Caenorhabditis elegans: one gene and its partners. The protein of the gene in region 1 purifies or fractionates together with the protein of each later gene. This does not show direct contact. Each region holds a gene or a part of one and is shown on either strand. Other genes may lie near its edges.

Region 1 (6,735 bases):
TAACGTTTAAATGTTTCACATTTCACGAGCAATTTCATTTCAGATAGGTTCTCTCTTTTCAAATGTTTCTTTTGCGAACATCACGTTTTACTGTTCAAACACCACATCTTCCAAATTTTGGTTCCCAGCAAGTTAAGACACAGTTTTTCTGTATTCCCATCAGTTTTTACTTCCGCTTCACCATGTTTTCTTTTAAAAGCATTCCAAGTGTCAATAATTTCATTCTCCATCCGAAAATGTCGAAGCTCATCCTCTCCCTTCTCCTTGTCGCCTGCATTGCTGTTCAAATCAATGCTGCCGGAATCGGCAATGCCAAGAATATTCTGAAGTCGTTGGATAAGGCACTGGAGTCTCACGACATCAAGCGGTTCTTGAGCATGCATGACAGTAACTTCAACTTCAAGTTCTGTAAGGTTAGCGGAAAGAGTGTGGAAGATTTGAAGAAGATTTTGGAGCAGGATCCAAATATGTCAACCACCAAGAAGAGTAATGTAAGTTTCAGAAGCTCGGAAAACTTTTATGAATTTTGTTGCTTTCTGGCAAACAAGATCCCATTTTTCAGCATTTTGTCACCAGTAAAGTTACCAAAGACGGCGCAAACTACAAATTCGACTACGAGGAGTTCCTTCTTCTTAAGAACGACGAATTCTACAAGGCCGAGGGAACTATTTACTTCCAAGATGCACCAAAAGTCAAGATCATGAAGGCGACCGAAAAGTGTCCAGTGAAGATTTTCTAAAAATCTCGAATCTGGAATCATGATGTGAAATATATGAATAAAGAATCTTTTTAAAATATTTTGAAAATTCTATACATCTCTAAAAAAATGCAATCTCGTTATTACAAAAAGCAAAATCTTTCACCTTAAGCCTAGATGTAGGTAATGTTTGATGAACAGTAAATTTTGAAACAGTAAATTTTTGAATTACAAATTGAAATTTTTTTAAAATCTATTCAGAATCCCTATATCCGCATGCATCAGGGAACGTGCCAAATTTGAAAAATGTGTGTTTCTCAATCTCTAATCATTTATCATATGGTCATGACAACAACTGGTGTCAAGGTGTACGATAACGGTACACTGTGGCAATTGACACTCTTTTTTTCTTTATTTCTCTATTCAACAAGACTTGTATTTATTAAGAAAATGCAATGAGAGAGCGTGGTGATAAGACGGGTAATTCCCTCGCTTTTCTCATTTTTTGCGGTGTTGTGTTCGTGTCATTTGAGATAATCCATGTTGATTCCACTTTTATTGTTGATTTGATAGATGTTCCAAGTTTTTACTGCTTCCTGAAAGCATAATTCTTAAAAATAATGCTTCATAGCAGTTGTGGCTTCATACAATTTTCAAAAAAAAATTCACTGTTTCAAAAAAATTGAATTCAATTTCCTGCATTATGACGTACGTGTTAAAAAAATATGTTCACCTAAAAATTCCGCTCGAACTGTCGCGAAATCTGTGTTTCAGTGAAATAAAATAAAAACATCTAGACAAAATACAGTTCTCCTCAAAAATTGCTGTTTCAAAATAATAATTTAAAAAAAAACACCAAAGTGTCGTATTTAAATTTAAAAAAAAACTATCGTTTCAACAAAACAGGTTCAAATCTATTTTAGTATTAAAATCTATAACTTTATAAAATTTGCTATTTAGGTTTTACGAATTGTTGTTTTTTACTCTGAATTGTAAAATTACCGTTTCAAATATATTCTTCTAAATTCAAAAATTTAGTATACAATTTTTCTAGAAACATTGAAGTATTACCAGGAATTTTTGGATATTTCCTATAAATTCTATTTTGATCAATTTGTAGTTGTCTTATCATATATTGCATTGGATGATAATAGGAAATGATCCGATTCTCTTTCCTGTTCCAAAACTAGGTAAATGTACCTCATATATTTTGTTAATTTTGTAGTCACAATAACATGTTATGATAATAATATCGATAAAAAATATCGTGATGTTTAAACATTAAGTTTCATTTTTTTCGGTACTGTTCTAATTGTTCAAAACAATTTAAAAAATTTCGGTCAATTTATAGACAATACCGATTTTAATAATGAATGTAAAATTTTCACTGTTTCACTAATTTTATAACAATTTTCATTCCTTCCAATTCACATTGTGTTAGTGTAGTGATCATTACTTATATATTTTAAAAAAATAGGGTGTTAGTTTTTTCCGTTTGTCTGTTTGTTTCCGTGACGTCACAACGCATGAGACCCATTTTGGCGCAAATTCAAATTTCTTCAGAAAAATTTTGGTGCAAACTCAAATTTCTTCAGAAAAATTTTAGCGGGAATTCAAATTTCTTCTGAAAATTTTGGTGGGATTTCAAATTTGTTCAGAAAAATTTTGGTGCAAATTCAAATTTCTTCAGAAATATTTTGGTGGTTTTTTCTTCCGCGCCGGAGGCGCGATCAGCAGCTAGTTTTCAAATAAATTTACTGTTTCAAAAATACGATATTTTTTGCCTAATTTTTGAGAATATCACTATGACGTCTAAACGTAAAGCGATTCCATAATCTACTTCAAAATTCCAGGCTCCCCAAATGCTTGGCAAAGGTGTCGTTGATTATACCCGGGAAGGGTCAATTTTGAGTGCCGAGCAGAGGCGATTCTACGAGAAAAATGGATATCTGTTGATTCGAAACTGTGTTCCACAGTACGAATTGAACAGGTTCCGACAAAGATTTCAGGTGAGCAAATGCGCCCGGCTGCATAATTTTTGACTATAGGCTGGGATTAATAGTCCACAAAAATTGATGGGGCCTAAAGTTTCAGTTTTATTTCGACAATTTTTAATTTTGCGTCGAAGTATTTTTCAACCTGACTGCAACGAATTTTTTTACAAAGTTGTGACGTCACAATTTTCTAAAAATGTATTTTCAGGACATTTGCGAGAAAAAAGTAAAAGCTCCAGAAAACATGACCGTCATGAAAGACATTTCCATCGCAAAATCCGAATTCAAAGACGGTGAGAAGGCGATCACCAAGATCCAGGATTTTGCAGATGATCCAGTTCTTTTTGAGTACTGTAAGTATCCGGGAGTTGTCGATGTGGTGAAGGACTTGATTGGAAATCCAAAGTCGAATTTGATGGCAATGCATACAATGCTTATCAATAAACCACCAGATAATGGTAAGTTTTGAACTTTAAATTGTATTAGGATTTACTAGAAAATGTTAATTAAAATAAGACACGTTAAATAAAAAAGTTTGAAACAAATTTTTTTTTGATAATTATGAAACATGTCCAAAATTATCTTAAATTGTTATTTGTTTTGCCAAACCACACTCCTAACTGTAAAAAAATTGAAGAACGTAAAATATCTTGAATAGTCTATAAAGAGTTGTGAAAATTCGAAAATCAGTAATTCAAAAAAATTTTGAAAAAAATTCAAAATTTTCTACTGTTTCAAAATCGGTTCAAAAAATGAAAGTATTTTGAGAAGTTTACTGCTTATATCGTTCACAGAACAAAATTACAGAACATTTAATAATCAAGTTCTAATTATCATATTTAAGGAAAACTAACATCCCGGCACCCAATGCACCAAGATCTTCAATATTTCCCATTCCGTCCAGCAGATTTTATTTGTTGTGCTTGGACCGCAATGGAGAAGATCACAAGAGCAAATGGATGTCTGGTTGTTGTTCCCGGAACTCATAAAGGTGTTCTTTTGCCACACGAGTACCCGAAATGGGAGGTAAGTCCGCTAAGCTGAGTTTTGGTTTGGTTTGGTTTTGGCAGAGCTATTTACCACGTTGAATTCTTGTTTGAAAACTTGAAATTAAGTAATTTGAGAAAATTTGAGAAAAAAACAGCTAAACGAGCGAGCTAATATTTGACAGAGAAAAAGCCTAAGCTTGAGCCCGAGCTTAAGCGTAAGTCTAAGCTTCAGGATTACCCGAAGACTAGGTTTAAGCTTGCGCATAAGTCCACGTCTGAAGTTCGCTCTCAAAAAGTTCCTTATTTTCAGGGTGGTGTGAACAAAGCCTATCACGGAATCCAGGACTATGACACGTCGACGCCACGTATCCACGTGGAAATGGAACCCGGAGATACCGTATTCTTTCATCCAATTCTTATTCATGGTTCCGGAGCCAATAGAACTGAAGGTAACCATTTTTGAAACTTTGGAAAAAATTAAACAAGAAATTACTGTTTCAATGCTTTGATATAAAAACTATGAATCTCACAATTGTCGGTAAACTCTTCTAAAAAAGATATTTTTGCTTCTAACACAAATTTTCCCATCCTTTCGTTACTGTTTCAATGTTTTTATACAAAAAATGAAAATTCGCAGTAAATACTAATTTATTTTTAAAAGTTCAAATTCTTCTTAAATTGAGAACTCCCAGCTACAAAAATGCGTTGGACACGGGAGTTTCGGTGCAAAACAAAATTTTTTTCAGGATTCCGCAAAGCGATCTCCTGTCACTACGCAAATGACGACCTCTGCCGTTATGTAAACGTCGAGGGTACAACTCAAGAGACATTGGCAGAGGAGATCATCGAAATCGCCAAGAAGCGTCTGACAAGATATGGTCTCGACCCGAATACTGTAACCTTGGATTTCGCGGACATTTGGAGGGTTCGCGCCAGAGAGGTCAATGGGCGCAGATCTAATTTGTGATTTTTATGTTTAAAACTGTGAAATCGATCAGAGTTTGTCGATAATTTTTGTAATGTATTTCAGTTAATAAATTAACATTTTGAAAGCGAGTTTTTTCTTGAATTTTTGAAAAAAAAACAAATCATAAATACGTGAACAATTTCGTCAAAACATTTTTTTGCACAATTTTTTTCCCACTAACTTTGATAATATTGCTACATTGAATTCCAAATGAGTACTAAAAATAAGCGAGACTTGGGCAGAAGCTCAGAACTCAGAACTATTTAAACGAGAATTAATTACAGAAATGCGTTAAAATATTTATTTGTTTTGATGTCAGATATTAGTTTATTGAATTTATAAAACTTTCAGAAAAAAAAGACGTAAAAAACCAGTTTTCACTTATCCGTATTTTGGATGTCGACCAAAAAAAAAATAGCTACGAGTTTCACGTTTTGATTGTAATTTCTGGAATGTTCTAGGACATTTTGACGAATTCCAGAAAATTTTGAATTGTTCTAGGACCTCCTAAAAATTGAGAAGTTGAAAAATTTTAGAAAATTTTGGAACGCTCTATAATCTGCTGGAAACTTTGACAAAATTATGGAATGCTCTAAATCAGTTTAAAAACTCGATAGAACACTGTATTCTGGAATATTCTGGAACCTTTTGCCAAGTTTGACATAATTTTGGAAGTTTTCAGAATCGTCTGAAACATTCGGGGGAAAATTGGTGATTTTTTAAAAATTTTAATTGTATTTACACATTGCATTGAAAAATCCGCACGAAACCTTCATTAAAAATGGCTCCGAGATAGAATTAAAATGCTTTTGAGCATACTGTTAAAAGAAAGATAATGAGCAATAATATCCATAATTTCCAAAAAATCTAACCGCAGCAAAAAAGTTATGAAAATTAATTGAAAAAAAACGCGAACTCCGTCAAATGCCCAAAAGTCCACGTTTCCAAAAATATAAGAAGGGGGGGGGGGGGGAAGAGAAAATTGAACTTTGAAAATAATCATTACCATCTTCATCATGTCTCTGATGAAATCTCTCAGATTCGTGGTTCTTTCGACACGTGGATTTGCAAGCAGTGAGTTTTGAAAATCGATGGGCCGATCTTTTTACGGCAATTTTCAGAGCCCATTGTGGACTTCTCGAGCGCCGGAAAGGTTCTCAGTGTGGAACAAAAACAGTTCTATCAGAAAAATGGATTTCTTCTCGTGAGAGGATGCGTTGCAAAGGACGAATTGAAGAAGTACGAAAACCAGTTCAATGTAGGTTTTTTTCAGAAAGTATTCAGAAAATTGAGTACAAACATTTCAGGCGATTTGCGAACGTAAAGTGAAGCCTCCGCCAAATATGCTTGTCATGAAGGACGTGTCAATTGCGAAGAAGGTTACACCCGATAGTGAGTTGTCAAAAATTGCCAGAAATTTGTCGCTTCGCAGAACTTAACACATATGGGATTCTCGGAATCGTCTTAAAGTCTTAAAAAGGTTAAAGGTCTCGCCACGATCCATTTATGTAATTGGAGAATTACTTTCCACGTGGCGTTCTTGGCCTGAGATCCATGTAGATTACATTCAAAGTCTACAGTCAGAGATTGAGCCCATCTACGTTCACACTCTGCCTAGATTCTGACGCGTTTCATCTCTACTGCAAACAGCACGTCCCATTTCCAGGCATCGACACCATCACAAAAGTGCAGGACTTCACCGACGAGCCAGTTTTGTTCTCGTACTGCGAGAATAAGAAAGTCACCGACGTGGTTCGTGATCTCATCGGATCCCCAGACACCCGTATCACTGCAATGCACACAATGCTCATCAACAAGCCACCAGACACAGGAGCACTGACGTCACGCCATCCAATGCATCAGGATTTGATCTACTTCCCGTGGCGCCCAGAGGAGCTGACTGTCTGTGCGTGGACCGCTATGGAAAAGGTATAAGATTGAGCACATGGCTACGATGAAAAGTGGGCTAATCGCCTATAAATTTCCAGATCAACAAGCAGAATGGATGCTTGCAAGTTGTACCAGGAACCCAGGCACGAGGCCTACAGGTTCACGGTTACCCAGAGTGGGAGGTAACTTACTCGCTCA
Region 2 (6,504 bases), on another chromosome or scaffold:
CAACTTGGAATCGAGGAGTGGCAGTAAATGTCTACGATTAGGTAATCTTCATCGAAGAACTGTCCGCGGTAGAAATGGGTTGTCCTGAAAGATTGAAGGTTAAAACATTTTTTTTAATTTTCAGGAGTCTTCAAAATTATTTCTTAATCTTTATAAAAAAATTCGGGTTTTATAATATTAAAGTTTTATAATATTTCAATTTGTTCAAACTTCAAAAAACTTTGAAAATCAAGTTTGAAAAACTATTTGACCTAAATTTTCCAACTAACCAGTTGTACTTTTCTGCCTGGCACACGAACAGCTTGTCAGTGAAACCATCCAACTGATCAATTAAAAACCGCATAATTGTTGTTTTCTTAACGTTAGCTTCCCCAATTTTCGCGTTGTGCTTCTCCTTTTTGCGACCCATATTTTTTTCGTGAGTATAATTTTATTTATTGAGGAAACTGAAAACGTAGTTTGTGGAAAGAAAAGTCGGAAAGAGGAAGACACGTTAGTAAAGCAAAACAATTTTTGCGGAAGTGACTGTAATTAAAACACATTGCACCTGTTTTGAATAAGATGTAATTCTTTTGAACAAGTTACATTTTTTTATTACAAACTTAAAATAGGAAATTAATATTTTTCTCAATTGGAATTAAGCCATCAGGCGTAGATTTGAAACATCTTGACAAAACACACAGGAAAAATTCTCAATTTATTTTCAATTCGAGATTTTTTTTTCTGTAATAAATCTGAAGTTTCAATTCCAAACAAGTTTTCCAATGAAACTAAAACTAATTCAAGAAAACACTAGCTAAAAAGTAAAAGAATGAAGCAAATCCTTGTCGTCCTCCAAGTGCGGAGCCCTGCTGACGGTGTGCATGTGCGTGAGAGTGTGCATGTAAGTGAGTGCCTTTTTCACTTCTTCCCCCTCTTCTCTCATCACTTGTTCAAGAGAAACGGCGCCATTGATTTGAATGAATGTCCGCTCTCTTTCTGTGTCTACTTTCTTCGTCTTCCGTCTTCTTCGTTTTGTCGAGACTTATGTGCTATATGCGGAGGAGCCAAGCCAACGTCTCTCTCAATTGAGGAGTGCATGTGTGCTCCACATTCATTTTTTTTGGTTTCAGTGGTTCTGTTGAAGAGAAGAACAAGAAGAAGAAGAACGGAGAAGAGTACAATTACGGAAATGCAGCCCGGCGAGGATTGCCAAAAAGGAGGAAATCGGAAATTGAACAGATAAATTGAAATGGAATTTTTTCCCAGTGATCGGTGAGCAAAGAAAACAAAAAGAAAATTGCTCAAAATTTGAATAAAATTATAAAAATAAAATAATATAATTGTTTAACATCGACTTTCGGACTATTCTCAGAGCTAATTTGCAATTACAAAATTTGAGATTATTCTTTAAAATTACAAGAAAATAGTTAGATAATTTTTTAAAAAGTATTTTCAATAAGATACCAAGTCTACAAAATAGATTGCCATGAAAATTAGCTGAAGGCCTTTATTGCAGTTCCTTATTTCCAACTTCCAAATATTCTCTCCCCTTTCCTACCTAGAAAACAATATTTGAACCTTGCAGCATGACTATATCCATTTCTCGCTTTTCACCTTCATCATCACATGTGGCCCTGGTCACATTTAAAAACCTATCAAAGTGTAATCGATAGTCAAATGATAAATTCTAAAGAAAAAGAATGCGCGAATGCGGTTTGGCCTTGTTGACCGATTTCCTATCTTTTCGCTGCGCATAAAACTGTTTGGACTGGTCACGTGTAACAACTTTTAATTTCAAATAAATTTATTTACATTGAGTTGATTCACATAAAAGCTAAAACTGGTCAATGAGTAACAACTCGATATGAAGCTACAGAACACTTTTTCTCAGGGAAATCAGTGTCGCTGTCGGAACTGGTAGTTCTTTTGATTTTATGAAGTTTTTCTTTCAGTGAGCTTGAGCTGACTACTCGTGATATGCATGGCGATTGGTTTTTGATAAAATGAGCATGAAGGATATTTTGTTCGTTTGGTGGAGTCGCAAGAACCGTTGGAACTTCGTCCTGAAAAATTGAAAATTTTTGATCCGAGATGGTTGGGTTTGAAGCTTAACATAAAATAGAAAAAACACATAAGGTGAAAGTTTTAACGTGTCAGAAAAGTTTCAGATTTTTAAAGCGTTTAACTTTCGAGAAATTAAGGCTACACAACATTTTTTTTCTAGGCTACACAACCTTTTTGCATTTGACTCTCGGCGCATATGTTTCAATTAGTGGCTAAAAGTTGAAAAAAAGTTTAAAAAGAAAAAGATAACTTACCGCTCCAACAGTGATATTAATCGAATGCTTGTGACATTGTTCTTGCTTCGAGCACGGACATTCACTTCCAGTCGAGTTTTTCCTTGCCGGCGTAGAAGCTCCAGAATTTTGCTTCGAGTGTGGATGCTCTCCGTGATGATGATGGTGGTGCCCAATATGAAATAGATCTTTGAAATGAGCAGTCAATCCGTGATGCTTCTTTTCTTTTAATGAGGATCCCGACCCGGACACATCACTGTGATTGGAATGTGTGTCGCCGTCGTTTTCAACAACCGGTGGCAAATGCTTTTTACCAGAATGTTTTCCAAAGTACAACGAATGTCCATGATGTTCCTTATGGTGATGTTCTTCTGGTTTATGGCTTCCAGATGTACCTTCTTCAGATCCTTCCTCAAAGTTTCCAGTTGACCTTGACGCTTTAAAATCTGGAGTGTGCTGAAATCCAGAAAACTCCGAAACCAGCTCAGCTATGACGTGAGGGACTTTCATTTGAGAATGATTCTGAAAATCATATAAATAAAAAAAAAAAAATAAAACATTTAAAAAAATAGAAAAAAAATCGAAGAAGTGTGGAATACCGTTCAAAACCGCTAGCGCATGACTATGTTATATAGAATACCGTCTTATCGTTCTTTGTGTCACCAAATCCCGCCCATTTGGGGTCCTTGCTTCTTTGGTTTCGATGGCGGGAGGAGGGTTTGAGAAGATATATAGTATGGGTACTTTCGTTCATTGAACGTTTCAATCTGACCGGAGTGTTTTGAGTACGTGCTAATTCAAATTATAATTTGGGACTTGTTTTGACTAATTCGTTGATCACTGATATTTGTTTAAGGCAGAGTACATTTTTTCATGTTTTCATTAAATTACCTGAAATTAACCTTACAATTAGGTTGTTAGGCATTTAAGAATCCCAGTAGTTGTTTTTTTTTTGCATAGAAAATATATACATTTTGAATAAAAAAATATTGACAAGTTGAAAGAAAAACGAAGACCCTGAATGAAAATTCTGAATGCAATTCTGTCCTTTAAGATCCCGGTTTTTTTCAACTTTATCATCATCAAAATTTTTCTCCCATCGTTTCAAGAATCTTATCCAAAAAATGAACTGTGAATTTTGTTTTTTGGAGCCTTATTCACTCCCGTTCAGCCATAGTCTCTTCATTTTTCAACCCTTCTAACTGGCTGCGTCTCGCATTTCACCACTCTCTCAGCTATTATCGAGAGCAGCCACGAGGTCGGAATGTGCGTTCTTTGATGAGCAGATAAGTGTATAAAAGTGAGTTCATTTTAACAAACGTGAACTTTATTTCTCATCATGATCAAAAATCTACGCATTTTCCTATTATATTTTCGCAATTTCTAAACAAAGACTTCTTCATTTCTTAATTAATTCAGAATAAAATGGCAAACATAATTCCGAAGATTGCAATTATCGGCGAAGGAGTCATTGGATGTACTTCAGCACTTCAAATATCAAAAGCTATACCAAATGCGAAAATAACTGTGCTCCACGATAAACCATTTAAAAAATCGTGCAGTGCAGGACCAGCAGGATTATTTAGAATCGATTATGAGGAGAATACGTGAGGTTCTTTGATAAATAAATAAAAAAAATTCTGAAAAAATTGGAATAACATAACAAACAGATAACCAAACTTGCTTGATTATCCTATTTTTTATAGTCCTATTTTTTTCAAATTAAAAACTAATTACAAAAAAAATATTAAATCCTAGAAAAGTGTTGCCACGGGCCAAAAATGCTATTAATAGCTTTAGAATAAATAATTTTATTACCAAAATATTTTTTTTAACGTAATATTTTTAGTGAATACGGACGTGCTTCTTTCGCCTGGTTCTCACATCTCTATCGCACTACAAAAGGATCCGAAACCGGCGTGAAATTAGTTTCTGGACATATTCAATCCGACAACTTGGAGTCATTGAAGCAACAACAAAGAGCCTATGGCGATATTGTGTACAACTTTAGATTCTTGGATGATAGAGAACGGCTGGACATTTTTCCCGAACCATCAAAGTGGGCTTCTTAGCGTCACATCTTTTGCTATACTGTGGCTTTCAGGCACTGCATTCACTACACCGCCTACGCATCAGAAGGTAACAAGTACGTGCCTTATTTGAAGAATTTGCTGCTTGAGCAAAAAATCGAGTTCAAGCAACAAGAAGTGACGAGTTTGGACGCAGTAAGTTGGCGACCGAGAAGTCAAAAAACAAGATCACCCCTCCCTTATTTCTGAACCCATACCCATCATAACCTGGAGAGTAATGTCTAACAAATTCATTCTAGGTCGCCGACGCTGGTTACGATGTTATTGTAAACTGCGCAGGCTTGTACGGTGGAAAGTTGGCTGGTGATGACGATACTTGCTACCCCATTAGAGGAGTCATTTTGGAAGTTGATGCACCATGGCACAAGCACTTCAATTATCGAGACTTTACTACTTTCACAATTCCAAAGTGAGTAGAAGCCGATAAATTAATATTATGTGCCAAATCTTTAGAGAGCACAGCGTGGTGGTTGGGTCCACCAAGCAGGACAATCGATGGGATTTGGAGATCACCGACGAGGATAGAAATGATATTTTGAAACGATACATTGCTTTACATCCTGGAATGAGAGTGAGAATTAGTTTTTTTTAAATTTAAGTTGATTGAAAAAGTTGATTTATGATTTAGGAGCCAAAGATTATCAAAGAATGGTCAGCACTTCGCCCGGGACGTAAGCATGTCAGAATTGAAGCGCAGAAGAGGACATCTGTTGGAAACTCAAAAGATTATATGGTAGGTATCACAATTATCTTTTTTTATGTGTTCAAAATGTTGATTTAAGGTTGTGCATCACTATGGTCACGGGAGCAACGGATTCACGTTGGGTTGGGGAACAGCAATTGAAGCAACTAAACTTGTTAAGACTGCACTAGGATTATAAATATTTGTTCAAGGGTTTCAGTAAATTAAGGTTATATTTCAATAGACTCGACGGGTCATAAGAATAATTAAAAAAACAACTAAATTTTTATATGCGTTTCAATTAGTAGATACAACAGCATGCAATCTGATTATGATTTTTGTTTCCATTCAATGATGGAAATATCTAAAAACTTTATGTTGAAAAATTAAACATCGATTTGCAATTCTCCGATTAGAAAAGTCTCAGGAGGTACAATAGACATCACATAGTTAACATTTTTATGCGATATTGCTCCTAGTCGCCTGAATTTTTTTAATTTCTCGTTCATTATTGAACACTCAATTCACCGGGGTGACAACTACTTTACTTTTTCCAAAATACCACATCTCCTTCACTGTTCTTCTGTAATTGGAGGACATTGAGAAATTGATCAAGTGGGACATTGCGTTGAAACAAAATAAAGTTGACATGTATACAGGCGCATAGGTGACAAGTATGATAAGAATCGAACCGAAGTCTATTTCCACGAAAAGTGTGAGAAAATTAAGGACACCGCCTGGTGCGCCGACTATGAAATATAACACGGCCATTACCAAAATCATACGGGCAGAATGGTATCTGAAAATAGCTTTGAACCACAAAAGCAAATTTCCGTTTAAAATCTGGTGATTTGCCATCTTAACACATTATTTCCTGCTGTTCTTGCTTAGGAGTCAACCTCCAGTTGTCTACTTTTGCCATGTAGTTTTGTCTCTACTAAAGGTGCGATCTAGAATAATTATTTGAGACTATGGCAACACAATTTATTTGGCAACTCGTAGCCATGTTGAGCAAACATTCATACCTTTCAAGAGCTGTTTTCTGACTCAATTTTGCAGAAGCAAACTTAGCTGATTTGCAAACTTCGTACATCAAAAACAATGCCAAAATTGGGTATAGTATGTTTATTGGGGCCTGGAAGAGTAATTGCATTATCTGGGTTTTTAATGTGCTTTGTTTAAAACTCACTCGATATACTCCGCTGAATATGTTACTGGCAATTCACTATTTTCAATTTCCCGGGAATAAATTGACTATGTGTGTTTTGCTGCATATCCTGTGCACCTGGAATTTGAATATTGATTTTCTATGTTTTGAAAATGCAGACTTTTTTGGTGGCTTCCAAAAACTTGACGTTTGAATGTAAAATTGCACATAGTAAATACCAGATGCCAATGTGAGCAAAATCAAAATCATTAGAGACAAAAGACAACCTGTGATAGGTTTTGCGAA
Region 3 (7,432 bases), on another chromosome or scaffold:
GGAGTTTAAAAAACTATGATTCCAATTTCCCAAACGTATCGTAGCAGAAATTTTTATTGCTCTTTTTTGGATTTGCTCGACTAAACTTCGAAAAGACGTCAGTAAACAATGTAAATGCTGAGCAATGTTTTAATTACGTCACAGTCACTTGAGACTCGAGAGTTTAAAAATTTCGATTTCAGCACTTTTTAATGTGATTAATTCGACCAAAACTGATCTTCCAACTTACGTCGTCAATTTTTTTCTCCAAGAATTCTTGTTTCTTCTCAAGAATATCTTCTGTTTCCCGAAGTTTTTGAATAGATTCTTGTGGAGTAATCGGAGCTTCTTGCATCATGCCTCCGAAAAATTTGCTGAACAGGCTCATTTTCTGCAAAAAATAAATGAAACAGTGAATACGCAAAACACTTAAAAAGAAGTTGTAAGACGTAAAAAGAGCACAAGTGGAGACGACAATCAATGGATATATCATCACTTCAACCAAATAGCCGCGAAGCAAAAACTTCATCATTTTTAGATAGTGTAATTGAGAAGAACAAAAAAATGATCACCTGATAGGAAAACCATCAGTGAATGAATGTATTGAAAGGTAAAATTGGTAGCTTATTTTACTAATAGCAATGGCCCGCCTTCGAGAGAATTGCTAAGGAGACTTAGTACAAACAAAACGACAATGGACGAAGTGGCGATCTATTAACATCGCAAAAACGAACGTGGCCACGTGGCTTAGTTATCATGCTTCTTCGATTATTTTCAGTTCCTCTATCCCACATCCGCACCTGGGCTGATCTTACGGTACTGTTCCTATTTTAATCTTCACTTACTGACCGCTCAAAACTACGATTGGAGGTCTTGCCACGGCCATCGGCCATATTCCGAAGTACGGTCATTTGAAGCCAAAATATGGGCGGAGACTATTTAAGGTCTTCCAATTTTTTTTTGTATTTTATTTGAAATTGTTGATTGGTTCAGATATATTCGACATAATTTCTAACTTTTTTCCGCAATGTTTCAGAATGTTTTGGGTTATTTTTCTCAATATTTTTTCGAATTTTCTCCGAACTCCTTCATCTTGGAAGCTGAAAGGATGGGGTGTCATGGAACTAGCAAATGTAAAGCATCCATGGTAGGCAGGCACATCTTCAGGCGCACGTGGTGTCAGAGTGTCATGCTCGGTTTGATTTACGTAAAACTACGAGAATTGCGGACTTCACATTTTTTTGGGGAAAATTTGTTGAATTATTTTTGTAGAACAAGCGTCCCTTTCTCGTACCTGTTAGTTACAATAGTCATTTTGGCGTGATCTTCGGTGTTTTGTTTATCGATACAGTGCGAATTCAAAATGCAAATATTCCCGATTTTTATCCAGAACAAAAAATAAGTCACTGGCTGATTTTTCGTTGCCTTTTGCATTAAGGAGTACTGTAGTTTCCAGATCCGTCGTTGGTCGTTTTATAGTAAATAAGTTTTTCAATAAATTTTGAGAAAACAAGAGAAAAGCTATTGAAATCAAAATTAAAAATTTCTATGTAGTTCTACCACAACAAGGATGCTCTAGTTGGGAACTTTAGTGCTCGTTGAGACGCACACTCGTTTGCTTTTGATAAATCGATCCTGTCGAAACCCAACACAGTATTTTCTGAGAAAAATATACATATTGCATCTGGGTACAACTTGGTCCAGAAAAGTTACAATGTAATTGTTTTTCTATTTTCCCACGATCACTTTACATTTTCCGTTCCCTTACATAAATTTTCACCTATAAAAATGAACAAACATGGATCGACCGAACTGACGACCCGGGGCGGAGAGCGGGCAAAGCGAGGAAGAGAGTGAGAGCGTTTTGTGAGCGAGCGTCAGGCCAGGCAGTCAGCTGAGTGTCTCTGCCTCCCCACTCACGTTCGATTTCTCGTGTACTTCTTGCCCGTGACCCGTTGTGAGATGTCTCACGTTTTAGTCTTTTTTATCTTGTTTAATTGCCCCATTTCACTTTCAAGTACTCATTTATTACTTTTTTCGTTTTTTGGATAGTTATTTTTCCAAAATTAATTTTTGATTGAAAATATAAAGAATCTACATTCTAATTTAATCAAACAATTTTCTTCATAATTGTTTTTGAACCCCGTGAAAAATGTATAAAGATTCAAAGTCAAATCAAAGATATAGGCGTATTGCGTGACCAAACATTTTCTCGTTTTCCCTTCCCAGCAGCCACCGAGTGAGTGTTTTTCTACCACAGCAATGTGAGCGAATGTGAGCGTCAAAAGAGAGTGTCTTTTTCTCTTTTTTTTGCATTTTCGTCTAAAAGTAGAAACGAAGATAAATGAAAGGGCTGAATGAGGGCTGGATGGACCCGATGACCGCTGAAAAGTGCATTGTTCAGAACTGGAATATGGGAATATTTCGGGGGAAAAAGTATTAGGCAACGAGAAAAACAATCATTCGTGTCTAAATACCTGCCGTAGGTGTAAACAAGACGGAATGGAAGATGGATGATACGAAGTAAATATTGACTCCGTGGTTTACATTTTCAGCTGAAAATACTTACGGCTCTTAGAAATAGGCTTGATACGCATAGATTTTATACCGAAAAATGTTCAGTGTACCAGGAAAATTTAGACAATTTCTTTCAGAAAACTTTGCAAAGCTTATTATTAGTTACAATTGTTATAAAATGAAGAATGCCAAAAATCAAGTTTTATATTGAAAGTCAAATAGGCATGAGGCAGGTATGTAGGCATGAAACTTTGCCTGCCTATAATGGAAGACATAAACGAGTGAACACGAAATAAAGTAGTGAACACGAAATTTTAAAAAAAAAAAGGCAGATTTTCTACAAACCTACCACTTTTTCCATTCTTGGAACTCCCCTTCTTGGCCCTCTTCCAATATTCAAGTGCGAAAAAGACTGAAACAGTGGCCCCTCTAGTGTCAAATGTCTGCCGATTCCATTGTTCTCGTTCTATTTCACTGCCTCCCCTATTGTGTTCTTTCTCCCATCACCCAATACTCTCTTTTTAGTCTTCTTTTTCTTCTAAATACTATCGGCTGGTGTTGTAGAAGAGCGTCTTTCCTTTCATTCTTTTGGCATGCATCCTCATCCCTCTTCATTATTATTATTATGATTATTATATGGCATTGCTTCAGGCAGCCAGTTTCACATCACAAAAAGTGTCAAATTTTCAGGTAATTGGTAGACTGAAGACTACTCGCGGCGGTCCGACAAGACGACGACGACCAGCACAAGATCAGCGCGGTCCTCTTCAATACCATCCACGTCGAGACACGTCGAACGCGAAACAGTCAAACTGTTTGACAGAACCCTCAAATCACTCCCTTCACACATTCTTTTTACGGGTAATTTCAGACATTTTTGGGTGGAATGCAAAGTTTTAAAACGTTTTTCTTATGATTATTTGTATGGGTAGCTTTTTGAAAGAAGCCTCTAAAAAATTTCAGGCGCGCTCTGACGGAAACTTGACGGCGATGTTTAATATTCAAAGTTTCTCTACGTCTCCCGAGTTTAAAAATTTTATATTCTTGGTCTTGATGCGCAGTTTGGATTGGAGCCTACATTTCGTTTTTGAAAAGTGTATTTTAAAACAGGCCCACAATCATGATTATCTTGATTGTTTAATTTTAGTCACGAGACCATCTCAATTTTTGAATAACGGTGACCTTTTGTCAAAAGAAAATTTCAAAGGATTCCACAATCTATTTCAATTTCGTCTTTTTAGACCGAATCTTCTTTGAACAATTATGCGTTCAGCAAAAATGAAAATTGGCTGCGAACACGAACAAGATTCGTCTGACCATGTCCACGTGGCGGGCTTCACTCGGGAACACAATTTTGGTTTTTTGTCTCAAGGTTCTGAAACTTTCGAAAAAAAGCACACACTTTGCAAAATGCTTTTTTTTTGAAAAAAAAACCAAAATCAGCATTTTTGGATTTTCACTTTTTTCTCAAAATTTTCCTTCGTTTTTTTTTTGGAAAGAAATCAGTTTTCAAAACTGAAATTCAATGAAAAAAAAAACACTTTTTTGTTGCATCAACATTTTCGGATTGCCACATTTTGCTCTAAATTGTTCTTGATTTTTTTTGGACAAAAAATGTTTTCAGAATAGATAATAGTTTAAAATTCAGTTCAAAAAACAAAATAGAAGCAAATCCTGTTGTTGCAGGTATTTCAAAACTCTCGTGCTCTATTTCTCAGGACATTTGGCCTTCCTTTTGCAAGATATCTGAATTTTATTTTGTAAGTGTTTCTCGGAAATTATTCAGAATGAAAAACCAGATTCCCATTTCTATTTCGGACATAAACCAAATTAAAAATTTATTTTCTTTCGAGCCAGTTCCCCGGACTTGATTCGAATTCGTGAAGTAGAGCTAGCCCGATGGCTCATATTTTTAGAACATCTTGAATTAAGTGTGATGTTACACTGTATTGTGAATTTTAATATTAATTAATTAAAATTATTTGAATATTTAAATTCAAACTTTTCCATTTTTCAATGTTGACTATTTGGGAAACACACAGTAGTTGAAAACCCTACTAAACATATTAATCAAGTCGTATACAACAATTTATCAAAACTTTAATATTCAGACCATCTGAATTTAAAATGTCACTAAACGGATTCGGCGAGCACACGAGATCTGCCTCACATGCCGGATCATGGTACAACGCCAACCAGCGAGATCTTGATCGGCAACTCACAAAATGGCTTGACAACGCCGGTCCACGGATTGGAACGGCTCGAGCGTTGATTTCACCGTAATACTCTAAATGCATTTAATATTTATTTTCTGATAACTTTCAGACATGCGGGATATTCGTATTGTGGAGAAACAGCTGCATATGCTTTCAAACAAGTTGTTTCATCAGCAGTGTGAGTTGTTGAAATTTGTACTTGGCAACAGGGCTTACTCAATAACTTTCAGTGAAAGAGTCTTCATTCTTGGCCCATCTCACGTTGTTGCTCTAAATGGATGTGCTATAACCACATGCAGCAAGTACAGAACTCCACTCGGCGACTTGATCGTTGATCACAAAAGTAATCTATTGCACTCTTAGTACATCTTTTACAACATTGCCCTTTGCAGTTAACGAGGAGCTTCGTGCCACTCGTCATTTCGATTTGATGGATCGCCGAGATGAAGAATCAGAGCATAGTATTGAAATGCAACTCCCATTTATTGCAAAGGTTATGGGTTCAAAACGTTACACCATTGTTCCGGTACTTGTTGGATCTTTACCAGGATCTAGGCAGCAAACGTATGGAAATATTTTTGCTCATTACATGGAGGATCCAAGAAACTTGTTTGTGATCTCTTCGGACTTTTGCCATTGGGGAGAACGCTTCAGCTTTTCTCCGTACGATCGTCATAGTTCTATTCCGATTTATGAGCAGATAACCAATATGGATAAGCAGGGAATGAGCGCAATTGAGACGCTTAATCCGGCAGCTTTTAATGACTACCTCAAAAAGACCCAGAACACGATTTGTGGGCGTAATCCGATATTGATAATGCTGCAAGCAGCCGAACATTTCCGGATCAGTAACAATCACACTCACGAGTTTAGATTCTTGCATTACACACAATCAAACAAGGTAGAGATTCAGAATTGCTTAATATTTTTCAATCAACAATAAATCCATTTCAGGTTCGATCATCGGTCGATTCTTCTGTTTCTTATGCTTCAGGAGTTCTATTTGTACATCCAAACTGACATCCCGCCAGTCCTTCACTCTTTTTTCTACGTATTTTCTTTTGCAACTACTGTCTTCTTCCTGAATTGTTGTGTAATATGTGTAAATTGAAAATCTGTTTATAGGCTCTTTTCTCCTTCTATTCAGGATTCGAGCACAGTTAATTGTGTTACTTCATCAACTTTTCACCTCCACCTAAATTTTCGAATTTTCTCCCATTCCGATTGAAAACTTTCGAACTATTCAAATGATATTTCCAACTTTATTGTGATTGGCAAATAAACAATTAATTCACATTTCAGCTTTAATATACAGAAATCTTTAAAGCTAGACCCTCCATTATTTAATGGGACCGTAGACAATGTAGGTGGGCTTGGTACCATTGACACCATCCAAATCCTTATCAGCAGCTCCCGAGAAGAATGAGCTAGCATCGACAATGTTCACCTCTTGCTCGGCGATTGGAGTTGCGTACGCTAGTATGAATTTCCCATCGATTTCTATTTTACAGTTCAGGTCACCGGCAAAATTAATTTTTGCGACGAAGTCCGAATGAGCAGCGACTGATTCGAAAGTTGTTCCGAATTTTTTTTCGGCTTGCTGAAATTTGGTGGATATTTTAAGCTTATTCAAGTTGTAATTCAAGTCGTAATTCAAGTTGTAAGCTTATTCAATTCTAGGGAAGAGCACATTACATTATAAAATGAAATCCATAAACCCCACCGCTTGCACTGCAGTTGCCATTTTCTGTACATTGCACAGTGATGCACCATCTGCTTTTGCGGCCAGGTACGCGTCTTCCATAGTTTTCTCAAGTGTCACGTTACAGCAAAGGAATCCCGACGGGTTCGTGAAACAGTTTGGTCCTGGTGGCGGTGGCGGTGGAGGCGGAATGACTACAGGCACCGGAACGAAGAATCCATTGTTACCACCACCACCAGTACCTCCTAGACCGCCGTTTAGAAAGAACGAGAGTGGGGAGAATCCTCCGGGGCCTCCTTTCTGTAAAATGAATTGAGTTTGTAAGTTCTAACCTTGCATCTTACCCCTCCAAGTAAACTTTGATAGAATTGTCCACCGCCCAGAGCCGTATAGGTATGACCTTTCTGAGCACGTTGAGCTTCTGGTGTTAAGCTGGTGTACCTGTCGTTCAAGTTTTGAGCAATTCCTCCGATGCTGGAAATTGTATCCAATTACTTGAAAGATCAATTAACTAAAATCACAAACTTTCCCTTCTTCAAGCCGACTGATGCGGGAGTAGTAAGTGGTCCAACAGATGCAATCGTAGTCATTTCATACGGCATTGCAGGTGGTTCAACTACAGTAACCGGTGGGACCATTGGTGCAGGAGGTGGTGGAGAATAAGCATCGACTGGATGTGGTTGTGGGGCCATCGCTTGCTTGTACTCAGCGTAGTTCATTCCTTGCACATCGGTATTGTGAGCTTGAAGTTAAATTTAGAAAATCAGATAAAAAATTGGGCCTACCATAAGCTGGATTGTGTTCTCCAGTTAAATAGCGTGGTGGAGCTTGAAGAATCTTCTCAGATGGCGGGGCAAACTGAAATTTTTCATGTTTTTGTATAAGTAATTTTAGATGGAATTCTGTAACCAAATCAAGACCTTCATGAATAATACTTGATTGTAAGGCTCCCCGTAGGCGAGCTTTGCCGGCCTAGTGCCTACACGCCTTAATAGTGCAAAATAAACCTGATTCAAAT

The links.
Region 2: the proteins of ZK550.6 (region 1) and ddo-2 fractionate together in Caenorhabditis elegans (co-fractionation; one large-scale study listed by BioGRID). This does not show direct contact.
Region 3: the proteins of ZK550.6 (region 1) and memo-1 fractionate together in Caenorhabditis elegans (co-fractionation; one large-scale study listed by BioGRID). This does not show direct contact.

The regions. Positions count from the first base shown.
Region 1 is NC_003282.8:17,258,301-17,265,035, reverse strand, and holds ZK550.6 (putative phytanoyl-CoA dioxygenase), read left to right. Parts: upstream 1-2,550; 5' UTR 2,551-2,559; coding exon 2,560-2,706; intron 2,707-2,899; coding exon 2,900-3,149; intron 3,150-3,169; exon of another isoform or gene 3,170-3,190; intron 3,191-3,467; exon of another isoform or gene 3,468-3,491; intron 3,492-3,535; coding exon 3,536-3,717; intron 3,718-3,990; coding exon 3,991-4,129; intron 4,130-4,426; coding exon 4,427-4,647; 3' UTR 4,648-4,729; downstream 4,730-6,735. Other genes in the region: F26D10.13 (CaMKII_AD domain-containing protein), read left to right, coding at 237-491, 563-739; phyh-1 (phytanoyl-CoA dioxygenase), read left to right, coding at 5,664-5,721, 5,769-5,905, 5,955-6,039, 6,314-6,576, 6,636-6,719. UniProt on the Caenorhabditis elegans protein: Converts phytanoyl-CoA to 2-hydroxyphytanoyl-CoA.
Region 2 is NC_003283.11:7,432,227-7,438,730, reverse strand, and holds ddo-2 (D-aspartate oxidase 2), read left to right. Parts: upstream 1-3,698; 5' UTR 3,699-3,704; coding exon 3,705-3,886; exon of another isoform or gene 3,887-3,891; intron 3,892-4,128; coding exon 4,129-4,338; intron 4,339-4,383; coding exon 4,384-4,504; intron 4,505-4,608; coding exon 4,609-4,778; intron 4,779-4,822; coding exon 4,823-4,940; intron 4,941-4,997; coding exon 4,998-5,102; intron 5,103-5,151; coding exon 5,152-5,250; 3' UTR 5,251-5,264; downstream 5,265-6,504. Other genes in the region: F25E5.16 (BTB domain-containing protein), read right to left, coding at 1-84, 270-409; F25E5.9 (uncharacterized protein), read left to right, coding at 812-883, 938-1,225; F25E5.8 (S39A8 protein), read right to left, coding at 1,827-2,045, 2,301-2,789. UniProt on the Caenorhabditis elegans protein: Selectively catalyzes the oxidative deamination of acidic amino acids. May play a role in the egg-laying events and early development of the worm, in addition to quality control of the germ cells.
Region 3 is NC_003283.11:7,842,919-7,850,350, reverse strand, and holds memo-1 (Protein memo-1 homolog), read left to right. Parts: upstream 1-3,357; intron 3,358-3,737; 5' UTR 3,738-3,814; coding exon 3,815-3,868; intron 3,869-4,182; coding exon 4,183-4,256; intron 4,257-4,607; coding exon 4,608-4,775; intron 4,776-4,821; coding exon 4,822-4,890; intron 4,891-4,942; coding exon 4,943-5,055; intron 5,056-5,104; coding exon 5,105-5,613; intron 5,614-5,666; coding exon 5,667-5,732; downstream 5,733-7,432. Other genes in the region: grd-8 (Ground-like domain-containing protein), read right to left, coding at 6,052-6,312, 6,436-6,714, 6,759-6,888, 6,940-7,156, 7,200-7,272. UniProt on the Caenorhabditis elegans protein: Plays a role in the oxidative stress response and the maintenance of longevity by regulating the interaction between GTPase rho-1 and oxidase bli-3. In turn, this serves to modulate bli-3 activity and the control of reactive oxygen species production.